3 linked regions of the Oryctolagus cuniculus genome follow. The protein of the gene in region 2 interacts with the protein of the main gene of each other region in a pairwise test. Links are inferred from orthologs where the notes say so. Each region holds a gene or a part of one and is shown on either strand. Other genes may lie near its edges.

Region 1 (10,108 bases), on a different chromosome or scaffold from region 2:
ACCTTTAAATGGCCATGTACTTGGCAGCACACCGCAGTCCCCACCATGCCCTGCTGTTCCACCTACCTCCCATTTCACTTACTCATTTTACCTGCCTGGCTTCTGCATCGTAAGTGTGACCTCGGCTTATACATCACAATCTGTGACCCCTGCTTGTACATCATAATTCACGACTGCCCCTTATACATCATAATTCACGACCTCCCCTGGTACATCACAATTGTGGTTTCCAACCATTTGGGTATGAGAAACATTATCTAAAGTAAAATAATTATGCAAACTCAACAGGTCTATTACTAAAAGCAGGGCAGATCCGCAATCTCTACTCAGCATTTTAAATCCAAAACACTCCAAAAACAAGTTTGTTTGTAACTCACTTGGCAACAACACTTGACCTGAACTGACATGAGGCTATTTATAAGCTTTATGTTTCCATTTAGTGTGGCTAGATTCATACATTTCACTATAAAATTAACAGTATGTTTGACTGCTGGTGTGCCCCAGGCCCATTGAAGATACCATTGATGACCATCATTACTCTGCCAACACCTGAAAATTTCAGAATTCTAAAGTTCATTGGCCCCAAAGGTTTCAGATTAGGGACTGTGAATTTACTTTTTTTAAGAAATGTATTTGAAAGAGGTACAGAGAGAGAGGGAGAGACAGAGAGACACACAGATCTTCCATCCACTGGTTCACTTTCCAGAGGGCCACAACAGCCGGCACCAAGTCAAGCCAAAGCCAGGAGCCATGAACTTCATCTGGGTCTCCCACGTGGGTGGCAGGGATCCAAACACTTGGGCCATGTCTTGCTGCTTTCCCAGGCCAATAGCAGAGAGCTGGAAGGGAAGTGGAGCAGCCAGGATCTAACCGGTGCTAGCATGGGATGCTGGCGTTGCAGGCAGCAGTCCCTGTGAATTTACTTTTTTTTTTTTTTCCTTCTTTTTTTTAATTTTTTTTGACAGGCAGAGTAGACAGTGAGAGAGAGAGACAGAGAGAAAGGTCTTCCTGTGCTGTTGGTTCACCCCACAATGGCTGCTGCAGCCGGGGCGCTGCAGCAAGCACACCGCGCTGATCCGATGGCAGGAGCCAGGTGCTTCTCCTGGTCTCCCATGGGGTGCAGGGCCCAAGGACTTGGGCCATCCTCCACTGCACTCCCGGGCCACAGCAGAGAGCTGCCCTCGAAGAGGGGCAACCGGGACAGAATCTGGCATCCTGAATGGAACTAGAACCCGGTGTGCCAGCGCTGCAGGCGGAAGATTAGCCTAGTGAGCCGCAGCGCTGGCCCCCTGTGAATTTACTTTTAATAACTACATTTAAGTAAACAATACACACAAACAATTTGGGGTGTAACCATATTCTGAAAGGGATCTGTAGCTGATTAAGTACTACAGCATCTACCTGTATTTGAGAAAGAGAAGGACGCACACAAAACAACCGTGATCCGACAGAACTCACGGTGCACACACTGACTCTGGGGCCCCAGGTCAAACCCTCCAGGTTTAACTAAAAACCTCAGACGCAGGGCAAGTTCACAACACAAGGGCACTCTGAGAGGTTCACAGACAAGGAGAATTAAAAGATAATGTGCATTTCCCACAAAGTTTGTGATTCACAAAGGATGATGCCAACATGATCACATCCTTTCACATCTGGTTTTTTTCCCAACTCATCTAGAAATACTCTTGATATTCTAGGATTTCACAACATACATGTAACAACAAGGCCATGGCAGATCAGACTAAAAAGACATTGCAAAGATGCAGGGCCGCTTTCCACCCCAACTCAATGCAGACGCTGGATGGAACGCCTGGTCCAGAAGCAGAGCACACCTACCTGTCCACTCTGAGAAATACTGCTTGGGGCTGGTGCTGTGGCACAGCAGGTTAACACCCTGGCCTGAAGTGCCGGCATCCCATATGAGTACCGGTTCGAGTCCCGGCTGCTCTACTTCCAATCCAGCTTTCTACTATGGCCACAGCTGGCCACATGTGGCCTCAAAGCATTTTGTTTAGTTCCGTGTACAAGGGGTCTTCACACTGTAGGAAAACTATGCCTGGATTTCTAAACAGCTTTGTAACAAAATGAGCTTAACTTTTAATTCCATTTTGGCACAAGGTCTTGAAGAACCCCTGTAGCATCATGGGGGTTGCTGAATTTGAAACGAATGCCCGCCTATCGTTCACTGAAGTCCAGATTTCAAGGTTTTCTTGAAAACACCAAAGATCAGGGCACACAGGGTCCACATTCCTACCTGGCTCACAGCAGACATTGATTTTACTAGCCTGGCCCTCCAGGCATTTGGGTTTCTAACCTTGGCTTATCTAAAGACAACCATCTGGAAAAGCATTCCGAGTTCCAGGGGAAACTGGTCACTGCGGAATCAATACCCAGGGAGATGCTCCCTCCCGGAGCCTGGGTACTGTGCCCTCTTAGTTCCATCCCTCAGATTCCTCCGTTCCTTGACACCTCCCATAACACCAAGCTCCTGGTCCTGGTGTACACCTTCCCCATTTAAGATGTGGCCTGCCCGAGAGCACCATCCGTGTCCACCGGATCGCCTTCATTAAAGGTTTTCAAGAAACAAAACATCTCTTGTTCATTCCAGCAGGACTGCAGAACACACTGTATGATGTCCATGCTTGCCTGACCCACACACATTCTCCCCTTTGGCCGGTAACAGCACCCAGTTTACCCTGGGGAGGCAGCACTCCTCTACCCTCAGTCCATAGGGCTGGGGTGGGGCTGACACCATTCCATTTCCAGGCAAAGCCTATGACTCAAAGGCATTCAGAGCCAATCCTGGGATTCTGGCGACAGGGACCAGGAGAAAAATATTCTTTCCCTCTGTGACTTCAACTGAGGACAATGGGAGACTGTCGGGGGCAGGGGGTCTCCCTGTGGACACTGCCTAGTAAGGAGTGGAACTCTCTGGCTCCAGCGAACTATGAAGCCACACTACTCTTGGTCTCCTTTGGTCATTTATGTGCCCATTTCTATCTTTGGTCAAGGCACCTGAATTGGATTTCCTTCCACCCAAAGAGACACAGTCAGTACAAGAAAAACCTGAAAGTGCTTAAAGATGGAGGAAAAATCAAAGGCTCTGCTCATACTTTCTCCTCTGGAAAACTTGGGCGACCTCAGTCCACCCAGTCACAGCTAGGTTTTGCCCTCTGCATCGGCCTTGCACTTATCTCCTGGACATAATTATGTTCTGCTTCCCTATCTCCTCTACAAATCTACTGAGCTCCTTCAGGGCAGAAACCAGGCATTCACCCTTATTCTTTAATGTACAAGGGGGAACAGTCTGGGCTGACAAGCTCCTGTTGAATGCCTCAATCAACAAAGGCAGTGGACTAGAAGAACCACCCACGTCTCCTCTTTGGGACACCACATCAGGACCCCAGCTCCCAAGCTTTGCCCCGATGATCCACTAGACCATCTTCTCGCACAGTCTCACCCACCCATCGTAAACAAATTGCATCATGAGTACTCACTCGTCCAGGCATTACTAACTCTCCACACGTCCATCCCAAGGAGCCCCACTGTGGGGTTAGTCACAAGGTCTCCATGCTAGGGAGAAGACTTCATTGCAAGACACCACCAACCAAGGGGCATGCCACTCACATGTAGAGCTTCCTTCTCCACCCAGATCATGAAGGGCGGAGGGGGGGTGCGGGATCTTCTAGGCTTCTAGCCTTCATCTTTACCCAAATACATTCAGGATCCTGATTCTGATACACACCATCCATCTGCTTCCAAGAACTAGGCATTCGGGGGCTCTCTCCTGCTTCCATTTTTTTTCTTTCCTAGTTTTTTGTGATGATGTTAAGTGGAAAAAAAATACAAAAATATCTAGGAAATCAGCAAGTAAGAAATGCAACAGGTTCCTCAGTGTAGACAGATGTTCTGACTTTGGGTGCATAAACACCACACCCTTAATAGCTCTGCAATAGCTGCAGCTTCCACTGGCATCTAGCAATAAAGATTTTCAAACAAAGTCAAAGATCAGATCCAGAATTACACTTCCAGCATGAATCACCCCTCTATTTAGTTCACCGTTTCCCATACTGGAGCCCACACCACCAGGGCAATCCAGTAAGAACCAGAATCCTGGAGTTAACAGCGTTCAATGAGCATCTATCATGTGGCAGGACCCATAGCTGACCCTGGGCATGAAAGGCAACACAGCAAGGACTCTCAAGGTGTTCAGTGTCACCGAGAGCACAGACAGGGGGAAACCAGGTTACAGAAAAGCAGGGGTGCAGGGGAATAGGAAACACCCGGGACGGAAGGCTTCCAGAGGCACAGAGACCTCTAAAGGAAGACTTGAAGACTGAGGTGGCCACAGGCAAGGTGTGGTGAGACAGACTTCCCAGAGTTCCAGGTCAGAAATGAAGAAAGCACGGCCTCCCCTAGAAACTGAAAGCAGGCAAGCTAGGCTGGAATTTAAAGTGTGAGAGGAGAAGCCTAAGAGGAAGCAGGAACTAGAGACCCTAAATGGCTTTATAGACCCAGAGCTCTCAGAACTTTGCCTGGAAACAGCAAACTTTCCTTGCCTGACACAACAATGTAAAAAAAAAAAAAAAAAAAAAAAAACAGCCAAAGTGACCATCTAAGCACTGAGCAGTAATTCTAGACTGCACGAATGCAGGCACCAAACTCACAAGGACTTCTATCATTCACTTGCAGATCCTTGCTTGAAACTTCAGCCCCTATTACTACTCACGTCCACCTTCCTCCTGCCATTATTTCTTTAATTTTCCCACAGATAACAGCAAAGGAGCCTTGGCCACACGTCAGGAGCAGGGATTAACTCTCCAAACGGGAGAAAGGCCCACCAAAGACACCACGGCAGGGCAAGGAAAGAAAAAGGACAAAACTAAGCAAAACGTTGAAGGAAACGAAACAGTGTAAAAAGCAAATTTAGAAAACTCAAGAGGAAGTAAAAGTATTTTCACAGACACACAGAAAAAGAAGTGTCCCACGTGCTGCAGCCAAACCAAACTCCCCTTTACTGTTTAAAAGAAAAAAAAAAAAAGGAGAAGCTGCAGCAAGAGCTGTGAAAAATTCACACTTTCATATCTCTTCGCAGAATAAACAGTAAATTGGGTTACAGCACAGCCCAGCTGCCCTGGAAGTCCTTGAAATGCTTGGCCCAGCCGATAGCGCTCATGGTAACCACCTCTGAGAAGTTCTCCAAACCACAAATCATTCCTGCTCCGACATCCTGTTCACCCACGCACTCCAGCTCACTTTTGTCACTTAATAATCAATAACGATTCTGCTTAAGCGTGACAGCAGCACCAAAGAGCCACGGATGAGCAAGCATCCGTCTCCAATTCCAAGGGGGAAGACTGTGTCACGGGCACAAGGTGTCTCCAAAAATCCTTTTCCTCCCAACCCCGGATTTCTAAATGTCAAGAACTTGCAGCCGCTCTCAAAGTTCCTATCTAAGCCCAGGGTTGGAGACAGCAGCACCTCCGAATGTCCCGAGCAAATCCGAGCGGCTTTCATCAGCCTTTAGCTACCCTCCGGCCACCGTGCACTTGCAGGAGAAGGGGCTGGGGAGGGGCTGGCAAGGCAAGTCCCCTCTGCACAGCGCTGGGCACAGAAAGGGACGGGGGAGGTTCAGCACGAGGCGGCGAGCCCGGGCAGACTCGACCCCCGAAGAGGGAAGCTAAGGATCGGGTCTACTAGTCCCGCAAGGGCAACGCTGCTCCGGGCCGGGACAATGAGCAGCCCGCAGCCCCGAGGGGTGGCCCTGGAGGAGGCAGCGGGCCGCCCGGCTCGTCTCGGGGGAGCCGCCCGGAGCTCGCTCGGCGCCCAGGCCCCGGCGCGGCACAGCCCCCCGACTCCGAGCTCCGCGGGGCCCCGGGCGGGGCTCTTGAGGCCGCTCGGGAAGCCGCTGGGCCCGAGGAGGGGCCGCCCGCCCCCAACCCCGAGGCGACCCCGGCCCGCCCCGGCCCGCCCCGGCCCGGCGCACTCGCCTGCCCACGGTCTGGTTGGCCAGCTGCTTCATGCGGTTGAACTGCTTCTTCATGGCGGCGGCGGCAGCCCGCGGGGCTCGGGCCGGGCGAAGCAGGGGACGGCCTGGCGGCTCCTACATCGCTTCCCGGCCCAGGCGGCGGCGGCGGCGGCGGCGGCGGCGGCTTCCCCGGCCCGGCCCCGCCTTCGCCGCGTCACTTCCAGCGGCGCCGCCCGCCCGCCCGCCCGCCTGCCCGTGAGGAGGCCGAGCCGAGCCAGGCCGAACCAGGGAGGAGAGCGAGCGAGGGCCCGGGCGCCGGCCCTGGGAGCCTCGGCCGCCCCGCCGGGGCCCCTCACCGCGCCACCACCGCTCTAGTCGCTTTCGGTCCCTGAACCCGCGCCTCGTGTGGCGCCCCAGCTCGGTGCCCTTATGGTTAGCTGATCGATAGATCGATACGGTCCGGTGGGGTTCGATCATTTCAAACCCACCACCCTGAGGAGACCGCGAACAACGGACACAGGACAACACACGAGTAAATCACTAACACCGGCCCTAACTCCAAGATGTGGGCTAGTCCCGGGACGGAAACAGCCGATGGCCTCCCATGCGCCAGGCTTGTGCGCGGGTGTAGACCTCTTTCAGTACGCTCTGAAGGTACCGCTCAGATGGCTGTGTTTCACCGTGGGAAAACCTTCCTTCCATTCAACAAATGATTGTGGGGTGAAAATAACAAGGTTGCGGAACACCAATGTTGCGACTCAGTGCAATAATGAAAAGGGGAACGGTGACATGTATTACTCCTTACAAACATTTTTTTGTATTTATTTGAAAGGCAGAGCAGAGAGCGAGCGAGCGAGTAAGGCTCGCATCTGCTAAGGGTTCGCTCCCCAAAAGCCTGCTACAGCCAGAACAGGGCCAGGCAGGCGGAAGCCAGGAGGCAGGCACTCGGTCCCTTCTCCCACGTGGGCGGCAGGGGTCTGGCGGCCTCCCTACTGCGCATGGGCAGGAAATTGGGCTCTGGAGGGGGTCCTAGACTCCACCCAGAGGCTTGGATGTGGAATGTGGGTATTCCGAGCCGGGGGAGGGGGCGACAGACCGGCCAGCCCCTGTATTTTTTATACCGGGGCTCGCACACGCTCTGGGAAAGATCCTTTATTTGGGGGCTTTTCGCGGTGTGGTGCCGGCAGCGCCTGGCGCTGGGGAGCAGGGGCCAAGGGCCGACGGCGCCAGCAGGCTTTGGGGGGACGGGGCGGAGGCCGGTGGGCGCGGCCTGGGCTCTCCGGGCAAGGCCCTGTGATGGAGAATAAGGCCCATTGTGGTTCTGCCCTATATAAGCCCCCAGCGCGCGCTGGGGCGGCGACACTTGGCGGGACTGTCCGACTGCCCTGGACGCTTTCCCGAAGCGACCCAGGTCAGTTCTGTGACCCGCAGCAATGTCCTCGTGGCTTGGTGGCCTTGGCTCCGGCTTAGGCCTCTCCCTGAGGCACGTGAAAGACAACGTGGCTTCCCTCGGGAGCCAATTATCGGACGTTACAAAGGGGGTGCTGAGGAAGGGTGTGGAATCCTTGCAAGATGAGAGGCTAAGAAGTCTCTGCAGAGAGCTGGAAGAAAAGTACCAGGCAGCAGAGCTGAGGAACCACCTGCAGGCCACCCAGTACCAACGCACCTTACAAGAGAAAGAGGCTGAAATCCAGCTTCTCCAGGCAAGGCAGCTGGCGCTAGAGAGCCAACTGGAGAAACAACAGGCCCAGCAACTGAAATCCACCAGGGACATGCAAGAGCTGGAAGACAGAGTGCAAGATCTGAACATCAAGGTATCTGCTGCCGAAAATACAGAGAATGTCTTGAGACAAGAACTAGACCTAATTAATGAGAAAGCAAGACAGAGGGAACGTGCACCTAGTGAGCTGCTCAAGGCTCTCGCCAGTCTGCTGTCTGAGGTCTCTCAGCTGACGGTCATCAACGGTTTTCTGGAGGAGGAGATAAAACATCATCAAGAGGTGACAGAGGTGGAGACGCAGGGCACGGACTCTGCGGCAGCTGCGTCCATTGACACCAAAGGCGCTCTTCATCCTCGGCAACACCTCCTAGTGTACACCTGGGAGAGAGAGCAAGTACTCTCCGTTGGCAAGGACTGGGCTGGAGAATACAGCTGGCTGAGAAAGGAGTATCTCCTAGGCTCTCTAGAGAGTCTCCAAGAACACAGCCTCTCACAGCATCGAGAGAAGTACACGGAAGACCGGGCAGGGCGAGCCAGAAGGCCAGCCCAAAGTATCCAACACGAGTCCCTGGAGCTTCGAAAGGCATTGAGACAGCTTTCCACACCATCTGTGACAGACAGAGAGGACGACGACACTCACTTGGCCCAACCTGAAATGAGCAAACACCAAGAGATGGCTTCTCAGATAGAACACCTGAAGAAGAAGCTAGACTTTTTACAAAGACTGGTGACAGGCAAGGGCCTTTTCATTAAAGCCAAAAATGACCAACTGCGCTCTCTGAAGAACCACCTTGCAAACAAAGTGAGAAAAAACACGACTCTGAGGCAAGCGGTGAGGAGCCTAGAAGAAAGCAAGTCAGCGCTAGAAATGGAGGTCTACAAACTGCGCCAAGAGAAGGAGGACGCAGTGGACACAGCCAGGACCAAGGAGAAGGCTTTACAGGACTCGAACCTGAACCTTCAGATGCAGCTCCAGGAGCGGGACTTTCACTGCTACGCAGTGAAGGAGAAGCTGAAGCAGAAAGAGCGAACAGCACAGCAGCTCGTCCGTGTGCTCCAGTCCATCCCGGAGAAGCTGCTGGCATTCGAGCGCAAGCAAGATGCGGTGCTGTTGGCGCTGCAGCAGACGCACGCGGAAGAGCGAGCCCTGCAGCGCAAGAGTCAACATCTACAGGACAAGTTACTCCAGGAGCTGCGGGGAGTGCTCGGCCATCTTCTCCCATCTGCAGGTGCTGAGGTCCCTGAGACAGCCGATGAGGAAGGTGGACGGGCTGGCATGGGATCCCCGGGAGCCCCGAGAAGCCCCACGGGGGCCTGGCTGCCGCAGCCAGCCCTGGTCACCATCCCCGCCACCAGCACCACGGGCAAGGGCCTCCCAGGGCTGGCACCTGCAGGCGACAAGAAGATCATCGCCAGGAAGGTTTTGGGCACCGTAAAATGGTTCAACGTCAAAATGGGATATGGCTTCATCCACAGGCACGACAGCAAGGAAGACGTGTTCGTCCACCACACGGCCATCACCAAGAACAACCCGAGGAAGTACCTCCGCAGTGTGGGAGACGGCGAGACGGTGGAGCTGGACGTGGTGGAGGGCATGAAGGGTGCCGAGGCGGCAAACGTGACGGGCCCCGGGGGAGCTCCCGTGCAAGGCAGTCAGTACGCGCCGGAGCGCGGCCATTACGGACGCTACCCGCGGCGGAGGCGCGCTGGGCGCCATGACCGCGACAGCGACAGCGACAGCGAGGGGTCGCAGAGCGCTGCCGAGAGCCAGACCCGAGCACGCTGGCCCCGAGGGCTGCTGTGCCCTCGCTGCCTGAGGGGAGCCCCCGGGCGCGGACGAGCGCAGCGCCCCCAGCCTCCCGTGCAACCCGAGGGGGCGCGCACGGCCCGGCCTCGCCCCAGCCGGCCCGCGGAGGACGCCCCAGGTCTGCAGCCGCCTGACCGCCACAGCGGTGACGCACGCGGGCCCCCTGACGCCTCCAAACCCCGCGACGGCCAGGAGACCCGAGCCGCCTGTCCAGCCGCCGAGAAGCCGGGCGCCGCCCAGGCTGAGTGACTGCGGGCGCCACGCCGCCGCCGCCGCCGTCGTCCGCCATCGCCATCCAACAACGAACGGACGTGGAACTCCGGCGCATGGAGCGAGCGGCATAGTACAGCCCGAACTCTCACTATGTTTTTTCCTTTTTGTTTTTCTCTTTCTCTTTCTTCTTTATCTCTTTCTTTTTCTTTTCTTTTTGTCAGTTGACCAGATTACTAGAACTATTTCCATTCTCTATGCGGCACGCGGTGTTTATTATTTTTAGCTAAAGATCTTTTTTTTTTCAAATTCTCGTTTTTCTCAAGTATACCTTTTAAGGTTTGAAAATTATTTCAGATCTGTTCAAGTTGAGATTTTTAATAACTGTCTTTAATCTGTAAGA
Region 2 (10,041 bases):
CACCTTCTCCACGTCCGCCTTGGTAGCGTTGATGTCTTGGTCCAGGCGCTCCGCGGTCTGAGCCGCCTTCTCCGCCTCGCGGCAGTCTCGCTCGAATTTGCGCTTGCTCTGCACAAGGGACGGAAGCGGAGTGAAGGAGCTGCCTGTCCCCAAGATGGGGGTCACTGAGCACAGTGGGGGACACGCCTGGGGCGGGGGGCGGGGGGCGGGGGGGACAGGCAGTCGCGGCCAGGCAGGGAGGGCAGCTCGGGCCACTGCCTCCGGAGCCGCGGCCCCCGCCAGCCGGCACACTCACATTCTCCAGCTGCTTGAAGCCGGTTTCCAGCTGCTGCTGGGCCCGCCGGCCCTCCTGGAAGTGCTAGGGGGAGAGGAGCCGCGAGAGACTTTTACCAGGGTCCTCCCGAAGCCCCACCCCGGCCCCCCGGCCCCCCGGCCCCCGGCCCCGGCCAGACCCAGGGCGCGGAGCCCTCACCATCTTCCTCTCCTGCCTCATCTCCTGCGAGTACTTGGCCAGTTCGAGACACACGCGCAACCCGAGGTTCTCGGCCACCAGCTCCCGCTGGCCCGCAAAGTCATTCACCTCCTGCAGAATCTGCACAAAGGACTGTTGCTGGCTGAACCTGGGAGACGTGGGGGAGGCGGGGACAGGGAGTCAGAGCCCCACCCCCGGACTCCCCACCACCACCTCCAGGTGGGATAAAGCCCCCAAGACACCCATCCCGAAGCAGTGGCAAGTTCTGGTCCACATCCCTCACGCGCTACCGGGGAGTGAGGTGCACTGCGGAACTGGGAGATTTTCGAGTCTTCGAAAGGAGAGGCACAGGTTTTGGAACTTGTGTGCATTGCCCCAGTGGGGCTGGGGCTGCACCCTGACTAATCGCCCTTTGTGGAGGTATTAATGGTGACAGCATCAGAATCCCCCGGGGTAGAGGGGAGGGCAATGCCTCCAGGACCCCGGGAGGATCCAAAATCCTCACTAGCAACAGGCTAAGGCGCTCCCTGGGCCGCTGGCATTCCACATCAGAGTGCATGAGCTCAAATCCCAGGTCCACTTCTGATTCCAGCTTCCTGGGAATGCGCACCCTGGGAGACAGCAGTGATGGCCCTGCCGGCCACGTGGGAGACCCAGCCTGGCTGTCCCCGGCAGATGGAAGAGATCTCTCTCTCTAGCCCCTCCCCCCAAAGTCCTGGCTGTTGTAGACATGTGCAGTATAAACCCAGCAGATAGAGATCTCGTGCTTGCTTTCCTGTAAATAATCAATGTATTTTTTTTTTTTTGGACAGGCAGAGTTAGAAAGTGAGAGAGAGAGACAGAGAGAAAGGTCTTCCTACTGTTGGTTCACCCCCTCAAGTGGCCACTACGGCTGGCGCTGCACCGATCCAAAGCCAGGAGCCAGGTGCTTCCTCCTGGTCTCCCATGCATTCTAAAAAGTAAGCTGCATAGTGTTCTCGGCTACCTCGCCCCCTCCTGTACACCTTAAATCACCTGTAGCTGACATAGCCTCCTAGACAAGGTGAGTGCTACACTGTATCATTTAGGGACTAGCAGCACAGGGGTGGGACTGCGCATGTTCAGTGCACAGGTGATTTTGAAAATTCAAGTATTTTGAGACACAGTGCCCAGGGAAGGCTGCATTTACACCCAGCGAGATAAAGCCACCATAATCTCGCCTCACCTACGTTGGAGGTGGCTAGCAGCTCACCAAACACACTGCTGATGCCCAGAACTTTTTGGATTTTGCAGTGAGGAACTCAGAATAAAGTCAAGCGCTCCCGGGACAGTTAGGACAGGCAGGGGACCGCGGTCCTGAGTCCTGGGCAAACTCCCCTCAGCCTCACCTGAGCAGAACAGGACAAGTGGCTCCGTTCCCACGCCCACTTCTCAGATGAGGAAAACTGAGGCCCCAAAGCCGCAGGCCCAAGGTCACTCACTCTACAAGTGCTCGGGCCTCCCCGTGTAACAGGTAGGAAAGACAGAAGCCGAGCCAGGGAACCCCGCGCGGCCCCCCCACCGGCAGCCTAGCCCCGTGCCCCGGCCCCAGCCTCACTTGGATTCGGGGTCATCCTTGGGAAGCCTCTTGGGCAGGTACTTTTTCACCAGGTTCCTAAGGGGAGACAGAGGCGGGATGACTGAGCGCCCTGAGCCGCGGCCGCCCCCTACCCGGCCCGGCCGGGCCACGGGGTCTCCAGCCCTCCGGGTCTCACCGCAGCTGCTTGGCGTACGCCTGCTCCACCTCGGCGCGCTCCTTGACGAACTTTACGTATCGGTCCAGCAAGTCCAGCCCCCACTGCGTGTGGCGTTCCAGGACCTCGAACTGATCCTGGCGGGGGGGAGGGGACGGCAGGGCCCGGGTCGCGACCTAGGGACTTCGCGGCGCGCCCGGCTCCAGGGCCCCCGCGCTCGGCGGAGGAGGGGCTTCCAGGCACCGCCCCGGAGTGGCGCGGGGGCCGGCAGGAAACTGGCGGGAACCCCCTCCCCTTCCCGGGAAAGGGCCCCAGCCGGACGACGGGGTCTCCGTCTCCGAGCGGCCGAGAGGGGCGTGGAGCGGGGCGAGGCCACTCCCCTGCACAACCGTCCACCCCCCCGCCCCGCGCGCGCCCGGCTCCCCTAATCCCCCCCAGATTCCGGAAAATCCGGCCTGCCCGGCGTGAGTCAGGGCAGGGATCCCTGGCCGCTAGCTGGGGGCCCGCAGGGCCCGGGGGCAGGCCCCGAGCGCCCCCCGCCGCACCCCACGCGCGCCTCCATCTCCCCACGGGCTCCCGGAGAAGAGCCGACGGTGCGGGACCAGGGTGCGGGCGGAGACGCAGGCACTCGCCGCTCCCGGAGAGGGGAGGGGTCTTAGGTCCGGCCCGGACCTGGAGCGACCCTGGGGCTTCCCGGGCCCGGGGAGGGCAGGGTTGGAAGATCGCTGGGGCCCGGGCTCGCAGCCCCCTCCCCCTCCGAGGGCGCCCTCAGCCTCCCGGGCGCTCCTGGGAGGTGGGCGGCCCTGGCGGGGCCCACGTGGGACACGGGACGGCCAGCCGGACAGGCGGGCGGCGGGCAGGGACCCAGGGGCCGTAAGATAAGCCGCGGGCCGCGCCGGGACGCCCAAAATAGGTGACCTCGCCCGGCCGCCCCGGCCTGGCCTGGGGACTCCGGCCCGTCGCGCTCGCGGCCCCGTGCCTCAGTTTCCCCGGGCCGCCCTGCGAGGTGGGTTTTCGCCCCCCGCCGCGGGGGTTCCGTGACGCCCCCCAGAAACTCGTTGCGTCGGTGGCGCCCAGAGACCCTCGGCTCGGTGCGAGGGGAAGCGCGGAGGCCCCCCCGCAGCCCCCGCTGGGGTCCGCTGGGGACAAAAGGGGAGGGGGAGTCCGAACCCGAGCAGACGGAACTTGGAGAGGCGCCGATCGGACTCACCCACAACTCGGTGCCCCAATCCATGCTGCTCCCGCCGCCGCCGGCGCCGCCGCCCGCCACCCTCCGCCCCGAGACTCGGCCCGGGGCGGCGCGCCGACCCCGCCCCGCCCGCCCCGGACACGCCCACCCGGCTGGGACACGCCCCCGCTCGCTTTTCCCCGCCCCCTGCCCTGCGCGGAGACCGCGGGCGGGGCCCGGGGAGGCGGGGCCCAAAGGGCGCCACGCCCCCTCTTAAAAGGACCCCCGCCCATTTTCAAATCCCCGAGGGCCCCTCTCCACCCACCACGCCCCTCCCCCGCCCCAGACGGGCCTTTCCTTTCGATCGTTCCTTAAAGGACCCGGACAGGAAAAGCCCCAAGCCCGAGAAGTCGTCCCTGCACGGTGCTGCAGGCAGAACCCGAGGTCACCCCGGCCCGGCTCCAGGCGTGGACGTTCGTCCCACTAATGGTCAGGTCCCTCCGGCCGCAGGGCGGATGGAGGACTTCGATCCTGCCAGGTCCATTAGCGCCCCCACCGCATCCTGCCTTCCCTCCCCAGGGGAACCCGAGGACGGGCTGTCCTTGGGACGCGGGGCCCAGGCTTTTCCCTCCGGCCCGAGTCTGCCTGCACCTGCCCACTGTCCAGCTTCGCCCACCGAGGCCCCCGAGAGTCCCGGACGCCCGCGCCCTCCCCCCCCTAGAAGGGTCCGCATCTCGTAAGTCCCCTCGAGGCGCCAGGATAAAAGGGAGCGGCCCTGCGGGCCCCCGGCCCCCAGCTCCTGCCTTCTCTGGAGCTGCAGGGGTGGGGTCTGGGCCCCAGAGGGACCGGAGGGCGCAGGGACACCTGCCGGCGGCTGCACCCGGTGGGTTGGTTTCGCGGCTCCGTGTGAGACCGGGGCTCGGCTCTGGTGGGACACCCAGCCCAGGTCAGCACCACGGTTGGGGCGGGGGTCTCAGCCCCAAAGGCTGGGCGGGGCGGGGCGGGGCGGGGGAAGAGCCAAGGTTTTAGGCTGAACTCGGGGTCCGGCTGCAGCTAGGGGAAACCGTCGGGGATCCGGAGTGAGCCTCCAGTGTCCTCGTGCGGAGGCGGAGGCGGAGGTCATAGGTCACAGGTCATCCTCGGGTCGCGATGTAACCTCCGTGGACCAGGAAGATTAGGAGAACGGGACAGGCCTCAACAGACTGCGTGTGTTTACCAAGAGCCAGAGCTCTGGCCGGGAGCCACGTCCCACAGGGTGAGAAGCGGAAGTCCGACCTTGGGGCGTGCTGGGAAATGTAGTTTCTGGGTGCTCGGTGGCCCTCGTCTGTTCCTGGCTGCATTCTGGGTAGTGTAGTCTTAGACCGTTAAGAGTTAGGTGGAGGAATTCCGCTTCAAGAGCAGGATGCCAGCTGCGCTCTAATTGGTTAGGCGGACTGCTTATCATGCTATATCCGGGACGATCTTTCTGGTGATTGGTGAGCGTGGGGGCGGGGCTACGTGGTATCACGTCTTCCATTCGGAACTGGTGCTGTCCGTCTGGTGTCACGTAGGCGCGGGTTTGAGAAGAGGCCATCGATGATTGGTTCAACGGGCTGGAAAGTCCGGAGAGCCTGGCCCCACCGTGCGGCGATTGGCTCCCCCGGAGGCGGGCCTGGGGGCGTCAGAGGCGGTGTCAGGGGAGGCGGCAGCTCCAGAGATGGCAGGGAGCGAGAGGAGGGGGCTCGGCCGCGGGAGCCCCGCGGAGTGGGGGCAGGGGCTCCTGCTGCTGCTGCTGTGGGGCAGCTGCTCCGGGCGCATCCACCGGCTGGCGCTGACGGTGAGGCCCGCCGCGGGACGGTCGGGGGCGGGGGGCGCGAGGCTGTCCCAGAGAAGCCCCCGGCTTAAGTGGTCTCGTCCGACCTCCCCCGCACCTTCTGCGGGATGGAGCGGCCCGGCGCCCCCCACTGCCGGGCGAGTGGTCCCGTCCCGAGATCCCCCTCTCTCCCTGCGGATGGAGCTGCCTGGCCGGCCCCGCCGGGATGGTGGGGGGCGGGGGGCGCCATCTCCTGGGACCCCCCCCTCCCCCGGCTCTTAGCCCTTTAAATTCCTGTGGCCGCTTTGGAGACGCTGGGGAGCCCTGGCGCCGCTCGAGGACCGAGGGGGTGGGGGTCCCTGGACGCTGCCTGGGGTCCCGGGCTCGTTCCGCAGCGGGGGGCGTCCAGGCGCCCCCCGATTGTCCTCCTGGACGCTCAGGTCCGCGCTCAGGGCATCCAGGGCCACGCTGTCCTCGGTCCCCCGGCACGGCCTCTCCTGACTCGCTCCCGGGCTGTCTAAGCACTGGGGCCCAGAGCCCCGTGGCAGGCGGGAAGCGGAAGTCTGAGCTGCCTCCCTGGTCTCCGGCAGGGGGAGAAGCGAGCGGACATCCAGCTGAACAGCTTCGGCTTCTACACCAACGGCTCCCTGGAGGTGGAGCTGAGCCTCCTGCGGCTGGGCCTGGAGGAGACGGGAGAGAGGTCCCCGCTGGTGAGGAGCTTGCCCGAGGAGGAAGCAGGTGCCACGCTCCAGAGCACGCCTGGCATGCACACACGCCAACACAGCCCCCAAGGCACGCACACACGCCAACACGCACCAGCACAGCCCACCAAGCCACATACACACACCAGTATGCACACACACGCTAACACAGCCCCCAAGTCACGTACACATGCCAACACAGCCCCCAAGGCACATACACACACCAACACGCACATATACGCCAACACAGCCCCAAGTCACGTACATACGCCAATACACACACACACCAGCACAGCCCCCAAGACACGCACACACACCAACACGCACCAGCACAGCCCACCAAGCCACATGCACACACCAACATGCACACACACGCCAACACAGCCCCCAAGTCACGCACACACGCCAACACAGCCCCCAAGGCACGCACACACGCCAACACGCACCAGCACAGCCCACCAAGCCACATACACACGCCAACACGCACATATACGCCAACACAGCCCACCAAGCCACATACACACGCCAATATGCACACACACGCCAACACAGCCCCCAAGGCACGCACACACACCAACACGCACCAGCACAGCCCACCAAGCCACATACACACACCAACATGCACACACACGCCAACACAGCCCCCAAGTCACGTACACATGCCAACACAGCCCCCAAGGCACATACACACACCAACACGCACATATACGCCAACACAGCCCCAAGTCACGTACATACGCCAATACACACACACACCAGCACAGCCCCCAAGGCACACACACACGCCAACACGCACCAACACAGCCCACCAAGCCACATACACACGCCAATATGCACACACACGCCAACACAGCCCCCAAGTCACGCACACACGCCAACACAGCCCCCAAGGCACGCACACACACCAACACAGCCCCCAAGGCACACACACACGCCAACACACACACATACGCCAACACAGCCCCCAAGTCACATACACACGCCAACACAGCCCCCAAGTCACGCAACACGCACCAGCACAGCCCACCAAGCCACATACACACGCCAATATGCACACACATGCCAACACAGCCCCCAAGTCACGCACACACGCCAACACAGCCCCCAAGGCACGCACACACACCAACACAGCCCCCAAGGCACACACACATGCCAACACACACACATACGCCAACACAGCCCCCAAGTCACATACACACGCCAATATGCACACACATGCCAACACAGCCCCCAAGTCATGCACACACGCTAGCATGCACCAGCACAGCCCACCAAGCCACATACACACACCAATATGCACACACACACTAACACAGCCCCCAAGTCACGCACACACGCCAACACGCACCAACACAGCCCACCAAGCCACATACACACACATGTCAACACATGCCAACACACACACCAATACACACACCAACAAAGCCCCCAAGTCACATACACACACCAACACACACATCCCCACAGACCAACACGCACACATGTCAACACAGCCCCCAAGTCACGCACACACGCCAACATGCACACACATGCCAACACACACCAACACAGCCAAGTCAAATATACATGCCAACATGCACACACACCCCAACATGCACACACACCCAGCTCACACAGCCTGCCATGCACACACACACCAACACATACCTGCCTAACCACATACACACCAACACACACACACCCAACTCACATATACATGCCAACACACATACCTGCCAACACACACACCAACACAGCCCCCAAGTCACATACACACGCTAACACACACACACATGCCAATACACACCAACACAGCCCCCAAGTCACATATACAGCCCAACACATACACACATGCCAACATGCACACCCCCACAGACCAACACACACACACGCCAACACACACACACCCAACTCACATACACAGCCCACCATGCACACACACAACACATACCTCTCTGAACACATACACACCAACACACACCCCTAATTCATGTACACATGCCAACACACACACAACACAGCCCTCCAACTCACACATACCAACACACACTCAACATACATATGCACACACAAAACCAGCACACAATACCAACACCCCCCAGCTCACATACACAGCCCAACATGCACACACACACCAACACACACACTCAACATATTGAGATACATATATCAACACACACACCCCAACACCAATACACACAACCCAACACCTGCACACACCAACAAACACACCAGCATACACAGTCCAATGCACATATGCACATGCACGCACACACATCAACACAGCCACACACATGTGCACACACACGTGCACACACACAGAGTGCCGATCTTGAGCGAGTCCCTTGGCCTCTTTGAGACTGCACCGGCTGCTAGACTGTAAGAACGGGGTGACACTGACAGACAAGACAGCCCCAGTTTCTGACATCATTTGTGGATGCCTGCTGGACAGAGGTCCCCACTGCAAGGCCATCGCCACAGGTCCCCTCAGGGAGGCCCTGAGACACCCCTGCACCCAGTTCCGAGAGGATAGGACCGGCCGCAGGCAGGGGCAGGGGCAGGGGCAGCGGCAGGGGTCGAGCTCAGAGCCACACCCCCTGCAAGTGGAGGGCCCAGACTCTGATCCAAGCTTCTGTCATCTCCGTGGAGGGTGGACGGGTGAGGCCGCCTCCCCGAGGGACCGACCTCCAGGCTGCGGGGGCTGGGCTTTGGGAAACTGGGGCGAGTGGGATCTGGGGACCGCGCAGGCGCTAACACATGTGAGGTCCCCTCTCCCTGCCGCTGAGGGATGGTGGGGGCCTCTGCATCCTGCCCCTTCTCCTGCCTCCCAGGTGGGCTTCAGTCTGAGCCGAGTCCGGTCTGGCAGCCTCCGCTCCTACTCCGTGAGTGCAGGGTGGGGGACTGGGAGAGGGGAGGGGTCATCTGTCTCCCCTGGTCTGTCCCAGAGGCGGGAGGATGAGGAGGGAAGCAGCGTGGGGGTAACCAGGGCCGCCCTGTCGCCCACTCCTCAGGCCCGGGACTCCCAAGACTGCCTTCTCCAGCGAAACAGTAGCAGTAGCAGCTTCCTGGTCCTGTTCCTCATCAACACCAAGGACCTGAAGTGAGTCGGGGGGGGGGGGGGGCAAGGGGCGGAGCTTCCCGGCCGTGACAGCCACACGGAGCTGAGCTGGCCGGCTCAAACGAGAGGCACTGATGCCCACTGGGAGGAAGCCAGTCGGTTTCCACTTCACCTTCAAGCCTTCTGATGGGGGAGTGTGGGGGTCAGGAGAGAGGGAGGGGTCTCGGGACAGAAACCGGGAAGACGGGGGGTTGCTGGGAGAATCAGTGAGCGGCGCCCACACTTGCCAAATAGCTCAAACGCATGGTACCTGGCAGATCCCAGGCCCTGGCACTGGGGGGCTCCATCAGTGCCCAGGACAGCTGGCCCCTGGGCAAGGCGGCAGGGACCCGGCTGCTTCACCCAGCACCTGCTGCCTCCCAGGGTTGGCACTGACAGGAAGCTGGAGCCAGGAGCCAGGAAATGAATCCTGGCACCCCCGTGGCATCCTAGATGCTTGGCTGCTGTTGTCCTACAACCACGCGCAGATCCAAAGACTGGGATCACACTGGGGCAGGCAGACTGGAGATACTGTGTTGCCTTTCTTTAGATACAATGTGTTGCCTTTCTTTAGATACAGTGTGTCACCTTTCTTTAGATACAATGTGTCCTTGGTGCCGCCTCCTAGACAAAGGGCCGCCTTCCAGGCCGCCTTCCTATTGTTTCTCTACAGATATAATCCTTGCTTCTTGCTATCTGTTGACACTACTTTTTCCCAAATGCCTTAGTGAATTAGGAGGAGCAAGAGAAGAAATGACAACTAAAAGGTGGTGCAGGCAGCAGGGGAATGCACCACCAGCTTGGATGGGCGGTGGGCAGGTGCTGGAACTTTTTGGAGATGCACTGGGCACCTGCCGAGTTCAGTCTCCCCGCCCCTCGCCCCCCTACCCCAGGGTCCAGGTACAGAAGTATGGGGAGCAGAAGAAGCTGTTCATCTCTCCTGGGCTTCTGCCCGAAGTGCCGCCCAGATCGGAGCTCCCGAAGCCAGAGGCCACGGCCAGCGCCAGGGTGGACAGCGGTGAGTCAGGCTGGCCATGCAGGCAGGGTGGGGTGTCCTGGCTGTTCTCCCACTGTCCCCGGCGCAGTCCACTGCTTAAAACCATCCACCTGTTTCCCACAG
Region 3 (10,152 bases), on a different chromosome or scaffold from region 2:
CGTCATCTTGTTCACCTCCTGCTCCTCGGCCAGCCGCGCCAGGAACTTCATCAGGTACCTGGCGGCGGGAGGGGGGCTGAAGCCAGGGGGAGGGCACCCCTGGGGTCCGGGCATTTCCCAGGAGGGGAAGAGCTGCCAACAAGGGGGGGGCGGAGCCACTTGGCGGGCTGGGCTGGGCTGGGCGCCCTCCGGCCTCCCAGGCCGAGGTGGCAGGTGGCTCCAAGGGTCCCAGGGGCTGCTTGTCCCCGCGTCAGCACGGCACAAGACACGGCTCAGGCCGCAGCGGCAGGCTCACCTGAGGTTGTTTCGGTTGTCACGGGGCAGGCGGCCGCACACCTCCTGCAGGGCCTCCAGCCGCGCGCCCGGCTCCTTCAGGCTGAGGGGCAGAGAGAGCAGGTGAGCCAGCCCCGGCCAGGCCCCGGCATCACCTGCTTCCCGCTGCCCCTTCCCCGCGGCCTCACCTCGCTGCCCTCATCCAATCGTCATAGAGGTCAAAGGTCATCAGGGGCTCTGGCAGCTCCCGCAGGTAGGACTTGAGGGCACCTGCCGTGGGGACGGGGGCGGGTCAGTGCCCAGCCTGACTCCGGCCCTGGCTTGCATGGAGCCAGGTCTGAGTTTCTTTGGGTCACGGGTGCTTTTGGGAAAGTGAGGGTTTTATCCCGGCCCGGGGAGCAGGGAGTTCACGGGGATCCTTTCAGGCAGCTGTGCCCCGCCCCCCACACCCCCCAGCATCGGGCACCTGCCACGGCGTGGGGGTCGGAACAGAACTCCTCCAGGCTGCCCGGGTCTGAAGCCATGGTCTGCTTGAGCCGCTTTAGCACGGAGGCCCCGGCGGCCAGCCGGAAGAGGCCCTGAGTGCGAGAGGACAAGAGGGGGTCATGGGGGGCGCGAGGCAGGCTCAGCGGCGCCCCCAATCTGTGGGCGCCCTCAACTCCCAAGGTCCAGCAGAACTTGGGGCAAAGGGTGGGGGCTGGGGAGGATGGCGGGACACGGCGGGGAGGAAGGGGCCTGGGCTCTGTCCTGGCCTCAGGAGGTGAGCCAGGGGACAGGCAGGGGCCAGCGCGCAGCAGCCATGGCTCAGGGTTCTCACGAGCCACTTGGGCCGATTTCCCTCTGCCTCCGTCCTTCCTTATAAAACAGAGCCCTGAGGTCAGTGGGGTCACTAAGGGGAGCCAGGAATGCAAAGGGCCCACAGCGTGGTGCCTGGCCCAGCCGGGCACGGGGACAGGGTCGGCTCAGCGCCAGGAGGCCATGCCTTCTGCTGGGACAGGGGACGGCACGAGGGCCCCAGGGGCCCCACCTCCTCCTTCATGCCCTCCGAGAGCAGCATCAGGACGCAGGCCTCGATGGGCAGGGCGATGGCGCGGCCCAGCTCCTGCAGGTGCGTCCCCAGCGACACCCCATACACCCTGGAGAAGGGGGCGGCCGTCATCGAGGGGGAGGGGTCTGCAGGGACGAGACAGATCAGAGGCCCGGGGCCGCCCACCCCAGACACACACTCTCCCCACACCCGACCCCCGTGTCTGCCCTAGGCCTGGCCGCCACCTCCCCGCTCCACCTCCCAGCTCTGGCTCTGGTCCTGCTCCCTTGCTCCCCTCACCCCCACAGCAGCAGAAGCGACCTCGCCATCAAAGTCACGCCCAGGCCTCCCCCACTCCCAGCTCCTCCGTGGCTCCCCGGGGCGGGGCCACCCCCACCTGCTTGGCTGTGGTTCTCCCTCAGCTCAGACAGGGCTGTGTCCAGGGAGCTCAGCGACCTGCGGTGGTAATCAGCTTGAATCTCCAGGAGCTGTGGGGACAAAGGGCCACCCCCAGGGGCAGTGAGGACAGCTGCGGCCCCGTTCTCCCTGCCGCCGCCCCAGGGCTCGGGCACCCGGCCCCTCAGCTGCGCGCGGCCACGGCGCGGTCCTGGGGTCACCTGAATGAAGTAGTTGGCGTAGGAGTCCTCCTTGGTGGCAAAGTGGTACAGGTCGGCCAGGTACTCGTCCTTGGGGACAGAGCAGGGGGAAGCCCACCCAGTGAGTGGGGGGCCGGCAGGGGTCCGTGACCCACCCCAGGCCACACAGCTGCACTTGCGGTCCCAGCCAGCTGGCCGCCCTCAGCGGAGGTTTGTGCTTGGGACCGGCTCAAGAAACCCCTGCAGCTCCTGGGGGCTTCAGCCTCTCAGCCCCATCTCTGTGTCTCCACCTCCTTAGCACAGCGCCCCATCCTCACTCTTTGCTCACTCACGCACTCATCAAATGCACCCGCCTCCCGGGGGGCATGGCCGCGGTGTAGACAGAGGCGGCTATGCAAGGGGTGTAGACAGAGATTGTGCATGTGGTATAGACAGAGACAGCTGTGCCCGCGGTATAGACAGAGGCAGTTCCAAGGTCAGGGCCAAGAATGCAGACCCTGGAGCCTGGCTGCCAGGGTTCAAACCCCAGCTCTGCTGCCCCCCCAGCTCAGTAGCCTTGAGCAAGTCACGTCACCTCTCTGAGCCCATTTCTGCCCCCCTGAGTCAGGGACAGAACCCACCCCCGCACCCTCACCCCCCAGGGAGCCCCTGCACCCTCACCCCCAGGGAACCCCCTGCACCCTCACCATCCTGGGAGCCCCCGCACCCTCACCCCCAGGGAACCCCACCGCACCCTCACCCCCCAGGGAACCCCCCCGCACTCTCACCCCCAGGGAACCCCCCGCACCCTCACCCCCCAGAGAATCCCCCCGCACCCTCACCCCCCAGAGAATCCCCCCGCACCCTCCCCCCCCCCCGGGAGGCCCCTGTGCCACACCCCGCACCCACCTTGCATTGCTGCACCCTCCTCTTCAGCTCCTCCTCCTCCTCCTTCAGTGTCTCCACCTTGTTGGCTGCCGTGGTGTGGCTGTGGCTGCTCGGGCCGCCGCCCAGCCCTTGACTGCTACCTGAGTTCTTGGCTGCCTGGCTGAGCCTGGGGAAGACCCCGAGGTGGGGCGGTCACTGGCTTGTCCAGCGGGGCTGCAGACCTCAGAGCTCCCTGGCCACGGGGGCGCGGGGGCGCTCCCTGGTGGCGCCTTTGGTAACTACAGCCATCCAGGGATCTGGTGGGGACTGTTTACAGCTCCCCTAAGCTTCGGGGTCACCACAGCTGTCACGTGCATGTACCGCATCACACGTGCGGGCCCTGCAGCATCCTCCCCCTGTGGCAAGGGCCTCCAGCTCCGTGGCCAGCCCTGTGGCGTGACCTGGTGCGGCCCCTCCCCCCGCCCCGGCGGCGGAGGCGCGCACCTGCTCTTGAGGGCGTTCCAGTCCGACACGAGCTTCTGCAGGCTCTTCTTGTGCTTGAGGATGGCCGGCAGCTCCTCCTGGGGCGGATGTGGGGAGGGCTCAGTGGGCAGGAGGAGGGGGCGCGAGGGGCCGCGGGCGCGGGGGCTCAGTCACCTCACTCAGCCTGCTGAGTGGCTGCAGGACATCCCTCTCCAGCGTCATCTCGAACTCAGCCAGGATGCGGGCCAGCTGGTTCTGGATGGCACAGCTCATCTCCAAGGCTTTCCTGGGGACGGAGCGCCCAGTGGGCCCAGGCTCGCCGGGCCCCGCGTCCATCTGCAAATGCTCAGGGGGCACCCCTCCCAGCTCTCCGCCAATCCCACCAGGCCCAACGCCCTCCCAGGCCTGGCCACCCTCCCTGACCCCCACACTGTCACTGTCCCCACCAGAGGGGCCCCCTCCCAGCCCGACTGCGTCGTGAGCTCACCCCATGCTGGAGTCAGGGTCCAGCTCCTTGAAGCTCTCGGCCATCGTGGTGGACAAAGCCATGAGAGGAAGCTTCTTCTGCAGGGGGCGGGGCAGACGGCCGTGAGCCTGACAGCTGGACTCCCACCCCCCTGTCCGAGCCATTGGGTCAGCCCCGGGACAGGGGACGAGGGAGCCCAGGAGGGCCACAGCCACAGATGAGTCCCTGGGTGACCCCAGACACGGTGGCAAGGGGAGGGCCCTGGACAAGAAGGAGGGGCCGAGCTCTCCCAGGCTGGCAGAGGGCACGAAGCCTGCTCAGGTCACAGGGTTGGAGGAGCCTGGCTCACACCCTCCAAGGCCGCCTGCCCACGGTGTCCTGGCCACACGGAGTCCCACACATGCGCTCCCCCGACCCCCCTGAAGGCATGGGAGCCCCAGCTTTGGGGTCCGGGCAAGCAACTCGCCGTGAGCCCCCACTTCCTCCTCTAGGGCCTTGCCAGCGCTCAGCGCGGCCAGGCATGCATGCGTCTTAGCGACGGCCTAGCAGGAATCAGCGAGCATCCCTCAAGATCCAGCCCCAATGCCACTTCCTCCAGGAAGCCCTCGCGGGCTGCCCCACGGAGCACAGGCAGACTGCAGAGGGTGGGGAGCCATGCAGAAGGAGGCAGCGTCAGGAAAGGCACGGGGAAGACACAGGGCCTCGGGACAGGGCAGTCGCCAGGCCCTCGGTGCCAGCGGCTCCCACTGGCAGGGAAGCCCGGGGCCCCCTCGGAGCTCAGCCCCTGCCCGCTGGGACCCTCACCACTCTCTTGTCCATGTCCGCCCCACTCTGGCCTTGCAAACACGCCTGCAGCCGTTTGTGCACATTGTGGGCAGCACGCTTGGCGGGCTCCAGCCGCTGCTCCACCTGGGGGGGTGTGGGGAGGCAGGGGTGTGTGTGGGGAGGCAGGGGTGTGTGTGGGGAGGCAGGGGTGGAGGATTATGGGAGGCTGTTATGCCACGACATCCCCACCCCCAGCCGCAACCAGGAGCTGGAGCCACCTTCAGTTCCCTCCTCCTGGGGATCTGGTGGCCAGCAGAGTTGGGGAATGACTCAACCTGGGTCCCCAGCTGGTGTCCCCGCCCTGCCCTGGCTCTGACAGCCTGCGTGGGCTTGTCTTCCCACCCGCTGCCGGCCCAGGCACGTACCTGCAGCAGGTCCTCGCCCAGGAACTCGGCTGTCTCCGGCGTGCTGCGGGACAGCTTTAGCTCAGCACCCCCCCCAGTTTTGGAAGCCCCCTGCCTCCCCCTGCCCCCCAGCTGCGTGCAGGGCCTCTCCCAGGTGGGCCCACCCTGGGTGGCCCGGCAGCCTCATCCCAGTCGGAGCACATTCCAGGGGCAGCACATTCCACAGGGCGGCACGGGCCTTCCTCCACCCAGGGCCGTGTCCTCGCCGGCTGGGCAGGGGGCGGCTCTCCTCTGCCCACCCCTCACATCATCAGCCCCCCAAGAAGAAGTGCCGGAGCTGCTGCCTGGGCTGTCACTCACAGGGACTCTGCACTGTAGCTGCAGGCAGGGCTGCCCAGGGCGGGCCCTGGGCCCCTGCTGTGTCCCCAGCAGGCACTGGGGTCTGTGCTGGCGGGAGGCCACAGCAGGTCCGGGGACACCCAGCCCCTGCCCTGGCCCACAGAATGGGGAACTCTGGAGGCTGGGGGAAGAGGAGCGGCGGCGACAGGCCCTCAGCGCCTCCCCGGACTTCCGGCCTCCCCTCCACCAGCTCCGGGCTGAGGTGAGAACCCGGGGACCTGAGTGTGTTTTCCACCTGAGCCTGGAAAAGCAGAAGCAGCTGGGGCGGGGGAGGGGGCACTGCAAGGAGGCCCCTCCTCCCGCCAGGCCAGGCCCCTGCCTCCTCCCCTCCCCCAAGGGCTGGGGCCCCCGCGTCCACCCCTCCCCTTCCTCCAGCCGGCAGAGGGGCTTCGCTGTGGCCACTGTCCTAGCCGACCTGGGAGGCCGGGGAGGCTCATGGAGGCAGAGCGGTCCCAGCGCCCTGGGCCGGCCTCTTCTGCCCAGGGAGCCCCTCCAGTCAGGCGCGGGGGCGCCCCTTCCCGCAAAGGCCAGTCCGCTCCTCCTGGGAAGTGGGGTGGCTCCGGGGAGAGAGAAAAAGAGCAGGACTCAGGCCGGCCACAGCGCTGCCCAGCCGCCTCCCCCGCCACACGCGCCCCTCGACGCCCCTTCGGGTCCCGCGGCGGGGAGTGGGCGCCGCCGGGGGCTGGCACTCACCGTCCCAAGCTGCCCGTCTGGGCCAGCTGCCGCATGCGGTGCAGCTGCCGCTTCATCATCTTGGGGGCGGCGGCGGGTTGTGGGTCGCGCTCGGGGGGTCGAGGGCCCGGGCAGCCCCCAGCCCAGCCTGCCTGGCCGCCGCGGCGCTCGCTTCCTGGGCCACGGGCTCGCTCGCCGCCGCTGCCGCCGCCGCCGCCGCCGCCGCCGCCGGCTGCCTCCTCCCCCACTCGCGGCTCCGCCCCGGCCCCCAGGTCACTCCTCTCTCCGAGTTCGCCTCCTCGCTCTCCCCAGGCTTCCGGGCCCCCCGCCCGCCCGCCCGGCCGTCCACAGGTGGTGCTGGCGCGCGCGCCCGGCGGGCGGCGGGGAGCAGGTGAGCCGGCTCCGGCCGCCGCCTGCCGCCCGCGGGCCCCCGGGCAGAAGGGACCTTTGCCCCTGTCTTAAAGGGTAAAGAGGGCCTCGTGCTTAGGAGAGACAGGTCTTTGGGACCAGCGCTGGCCTGTCTGGGAGCTTGGGCACCCGGGGGATCCTGGGCCGGCTGCCTCCAACTACTGTCCTGGCCCAGCCGACCCTCAGCAGGGACCAGAGAGCCCACCCACTCCTCCAGCCTCCCAGCTCCAGGCTTCTGCTCCCCGGCCTCCTTTCGGGCGGGAGCCTGCACAGACCCCGCCCCTGCAGCCCCCACACCTATGGGCCCAGCCTGGACAGTCTCCTCCCCTTGCAGAGCCCTGCCTCTCTCCGCCCCGGGGAGGTGGGGGGGCTCAGCTCCATCTTTCCTCTCTGAAAGGCAACCAAGTGGGTGCTGCTGCCCACAGGGAGCAGGGGCTGACGGGCCCTCCCCCCAAAACAGAGCTGGGCATGCAGTAGGCGCTGCATAACTGCCTGTTAGTACAAGAGCCCCAGGTGCCCCCCGGGGGGGGGAACCACTGGAGCACCTACTGTGTGCTGATTCCCCCAATGGGCCCTTCGGACCCCTCTGTATTCCCAGTGCCCCCCCATCCCTGAGGGGAGACTTGAGCGGGCTCCCCCCCCCCCCACCGTGAGAGCCTCTGATTGGGGAACCAGAAGCTAAAGCCCACCTGGTGGAAGTGGGAGGGGCCAAGGAAGGGCCCTCTCCCACCTCCCCTTTCCCGCAAGGAGACGGGGGTAGGGGGGTGGGGGGGTGTTCCAGAAAGAAGGCAGGGCTTGGGGAATGAGAGAAACGCCAGCGCCCTGGGGTCCTCCTTGTTTGTTAAGATTTATTTACTTGAACATTGGAGTTACAGAGAGAGAGGGAGAGAGATTTTTCCATCCACTGGTTCACTCCCTGAATGGTCAAGACCAAGCCAAGCCAAAGCCAGGAGCCAGGAGCTTCATCTGGGTCTCCCGCGTAGCTGGCGGGGGGGCCCAAGCACCTGAGCCATCCTCCACTGGTTTTCTTTCTTTTTCTTTTCTTTTTTTTTTTAATTAAAGATGTATTTATTATTTGAAAGTCAGAGTTACACACAGAGAGAAGGAGAGGCAGAGAGAGAGAATCTTCCATCTGCTGGTTCACTCCCCAACTGGCCACAATAGCTGGAGCTGCGCTGATCCGAAGCCAGGAACCAGGAGCTTCTTCCGGGTCTCCCATGCAGGTGCAGGGGCCCAAGGACTTGGGCCATCTTCTACTGCTTTCCCAGGCCATAGCAGAGCGCTGGATCTAAAGTGGAGCAGCCAGGACTTGAACCGGTGCCTATATGGGATGCTGCCACTGCAGGCGGAGGCTTTACCTGCTATGTCACAGCACCAGCCCCTTCTCCACTGCTTTTCCCAGGCGCATTAGCAGGGAGCTGGATCGGAAGTGGAGCAGCCACTAGACCTGGCTCCTTGAAGTGGTGAGCTGGAGTTTGGAACGTGTGGGTTCCAGTCCTCTCCTCTCCACCTTCCCCACTGGTCAATCCCCAGACTTCCAGGTGGCCCCGTTTCCCTGGCCCTGCCATGGGCACAACCTACCGAGTGCAGCGTGAGGGCACTGGAGACGCCAGGCGCCGCCCCCCCCCTCCCTGCGCCTCCAAGTCTGTGGACTTCACTGTGCCCTCCCCTTCTGGCCCACACTGGGCCCGGGCCCTGCAGTTCCCCAGCTGCTCTGAAGGTCCCCGGAGGCCAGACTTGGACCCGTGTCCCCCCCCCCCCCCCCAGCTTGTCTAGGCTGAATTCTGGAGCTCTGGTCCGGCATGGGATCCATCCTCTGGGGCTGTCGCAGCAGCTGCCATGGAAGGGCTGGAGCCTCATGACCAGGTCCCCCTGCTCCGAGGTCCCCCCAGCCAGACCCAGGAGTCCTGGGCAGGAGACACGCCCAGCTCTGCTGGGCGTGACCTGGGTGGGGCTGCTGCGTGACTTGGCTGGGGACTGGGGACAAGTCAGGGCCTTTCCTGCTCAGACAGGGAGGTTGGATCCCAGCTATAATGCGAATCTTGAGGACTCAGAAGCTGCAGGCAACTGGTGCTGGGATCCTGGCGTTTTAGAACTGTGCGTGCAGACGGGGGACGTGAGCGGTCACCTGCCGAGCCTCCCGGGGCCCTTCCTCCAGGGCCTCCTGCCTGGGGCTCAGCTGGCTCTCGGTGAATCCCCTGGGCCCCTGCACTGGGCCGTGGTCTGGGGAGCGGACAGTCACGGCAGGTGACGGCACCGTCAATGGACGCTCAACTGTACCCTGCAGGCCGCTAGGACAGGGCCGACAGGTGCAGATGGACACAGCCGCAGGGTCAGCCTCTCGTGAGCTGGGTGGCCTGGGATGGTCCAGCTCATCTCTCGGAGGCCCAGTGTCTCCTGTGTGAAATGGAAACACAGCAGTAACTAGCTCAGTCCTCGGAAACATGCTGGCAGGGCCGGCGCTGTGGCATAATGGATAAAGCCGCTGCTTGCAGCGCCGGCATCCCATATGGGCACCAGTTCAAGTCCCGGCTGCTCCACTTCTGGTCCAGCTCCCTGCTAATGCACCTGGGAAAGCAGCAGGTGGCAGCCCAAGTGCTTGGGCCCCTGCATCCACGTGGGAGACCAGCATGGAGTTCCTGGCCTCTGGCTTCAGCCTGGGTTGTCCCTGGCCACGTGGGCATTTGAGGAATGAACCAGCAGATGAAAGCTCAGTCTCTCACTCTGTAATTCTGCCTTTCAAATAAATATTTTTTAAAAAAGAAGAGGACAATGCCTGGTAGTGTTTACCATCATTATTCAGTCCACCAGGTCAGGGATGGAAAACCTCTTCACCCCGGTTCTGCCTCTGTGACCCCCTACTGTGCTCAGCTGCCGTGGGTGGACCATGCAACGTATTGTCACGTGCCCTGGTACACCTTCCAGTGAGGCGGTGTCATTGCCCCATTTATTTGGGGGGGGTGGAGAGAGCGAGCTCGCCTGTCTGCTGGGTCACTCTCCGAACGCCCACAGTGGCTGGGGCCAGGGCCGGGGCAGGGGCTGGGCCGGGGCAGGGGCTGGGCCAGGGCCGGGGCAGGGGCTGGGCCGGGGCAGGGGCTGGGCCGGGGCAGGGGCAGGGGCCGGGCAGGGGCTGGGCAGGGGCTGGGCCGGGGCCGGGGCCAGGGCCGGGGCAGGGGCCGGGCAGGGGCTGGGCCGGGGCAGGGGCTGGGGCTGGAAGCGGGAATGCAATCCAGGTGTTGAGGTAGGAACTTAACCACTGGAGCCACTGCTGCGGCCTCCCAGGGCCTGCATCTCCCGACGGGAGGTGGCGCACCGACCAGCGTCCTAACTGCTGGGCCGAATGCCTGCCGGGCCCATCCCAGGCTCCTGCCCGAGGTGGCCGGCCGGCTGGCTGGCTGGCTGCTACAGGTTGACTTGGAAAGCCCATCGGGCCCACAAAAGCCCACAGCTGGCCTCCCGCAGAGCCCAAGTGCCCTGCCCGGGAACTCCGGCGGTGCTGCCCTTGGCCGGCCTCAACCTCTGTGGCTACATCAAGGGGCCCAGTGACCTCAGATTTGCCTGGGAAAACCTGTGACACCCCGGGTAGTGCCTGCTGGTGAAGCCGGAGTGGGATGTGGGCAGCGTGGCCAGTGGCCAGTGGCCAAGGCGGTGTAGCAAAAACAGCCCGTTTTAGACACGGGGATGAACTGCGTGCTTGTGGCCGCGTCGGTGCTGCCCGCTGAGTGGCGCCCCCCACCCCTCCCACACCTGCTTTCTGCAGCTCTGAGAACTGACTTTCCCCTCCCCAAGCTACAGGGACTTTCCAGGGAGCCC

Evidence for each region. The genes of interacting proteins can lie anywhere in the genome.
Region 1: the proteins of TRIP10 (region 2) and rho GTPase-activating protein 17 interact in binary tests that used the Homo sapiens proteins (3 or more experiments, as listed by UniProt). The link is inferred for Oryctolagus cuniculus from reciprocal best matches to the Homo sapiens genes TRIP10 and ARHGAP17.
Region 3: the proteins of TRIP10 (region 2) and SH3BP1 interact in binary tests that used the Homo sapiens proteins (3 or more experiments, as listed by UniProt). The two-hybrid records come from large-scale screens. The link is inferred for Oryctolagus cuniculus from reciprocal best matches to the Homo sapiens genes TRIP10 and SH3BP1.

What each region holds. Positions count from the first base shown.
Region 1 is NC_091450.1:14,474,590-14,484,697, reverse strand, and holds the start of rho GTPase-activating protein 17, read right to left. Parts: upstream 6,173-10,108; 5' UTR 6,044-6,172; coding exon 5,991-6,043; intron 1-5,990. UniProt on the Homo sapiens protein: Rho GTPase-activating protein involved in the maintenance of tight junction by regulating the activity of CDC42, thereby playing a central role in apical polarity of epithelial cells.
Region 2 is NC_091447.1:60,897,449-60,907,489, reverse strand, and holds the start of TRIP10 (cdc42-interacting protein 4), read right to left. Parts: upstream 4,941-10,041; 5' UTR 4,926-4,940; coding exon 4,569-4,925; exon of another isoform or gene 4,406-4,568; intron 4,299-4,405; exon of another isoform or gene 3,736-4,298; intron 3,520-3,735; exon of another isoform or gene 3,419-3,519; coding exon of another isoform or gene 3,395-3,418; intron 2,322-3,394; coding exon 2,206-2,321; intron 2,106-2,205; coding exon 2,049-2,105; intron 621-2,048; coding exon 473-620; intron 359-472; coding exon 296-358; intron 109-295; coding exon 4-108; intron 1-3. Other genes in the region: protein GPR108, read left to right, coding at 5,049-5,168, 5,735-5,854, 8,656-8,706, 8,836-8,924, 9,815-9,939. UniProt on the Homo sapiens protein: Required for translocation of GLUT4 to the plasma membrane in response to insulin signaling. Required to coordinate membrane tubulation with reorganization of the actin cytoskeleton during endocytosis.
Region 3 is NC_091442.1:114,517,052-114,527,203, reverse strand, and holds the start of SH3BP1 (SH3 domain-binding protein 1), read right to left. Parts: upstream 6,173-10,152; 5' UTR 6,012-6,172; coding exon 5,953-6,011; intron 5,817-5,952; exon of another isoform or gene 5,675-5,816; intron 5,598-5,674; exon of another isoform or gene 5,221-5,597; intron 4,925-5,220; coding exon 4,882-4,924; intron 4,601-4,881; coding exon 4,496-4,600; intron 3,790-4,495; coding exon 3,713-3,789; intron 3,512-3,712; coding exon 3,400-3,511; intron 3,324-3,399; coding exon 3,247-3,323; intron 2,930-3,246; coding exon 2,785-2,929; intron 1,987-2,784; coding exon 1,918-1,986; intron 1,789-1,917; coding exon 1,698-1,788; intron 1,447-1,697; coding exon 1,301-1,446; intron 852-1,300; coding exon 740-851; intron 544-739; coding exon 462-543; intron 377-461; coding exon 296-376; intron 59-295; coding exon 1-58. UniProt on the Homo sapiens protein: GTPase activating protein (GAP) which specifically converts GTP-bound Rho-type GTPases including RAC1 and CDC42 in their inactive GDP-bound form.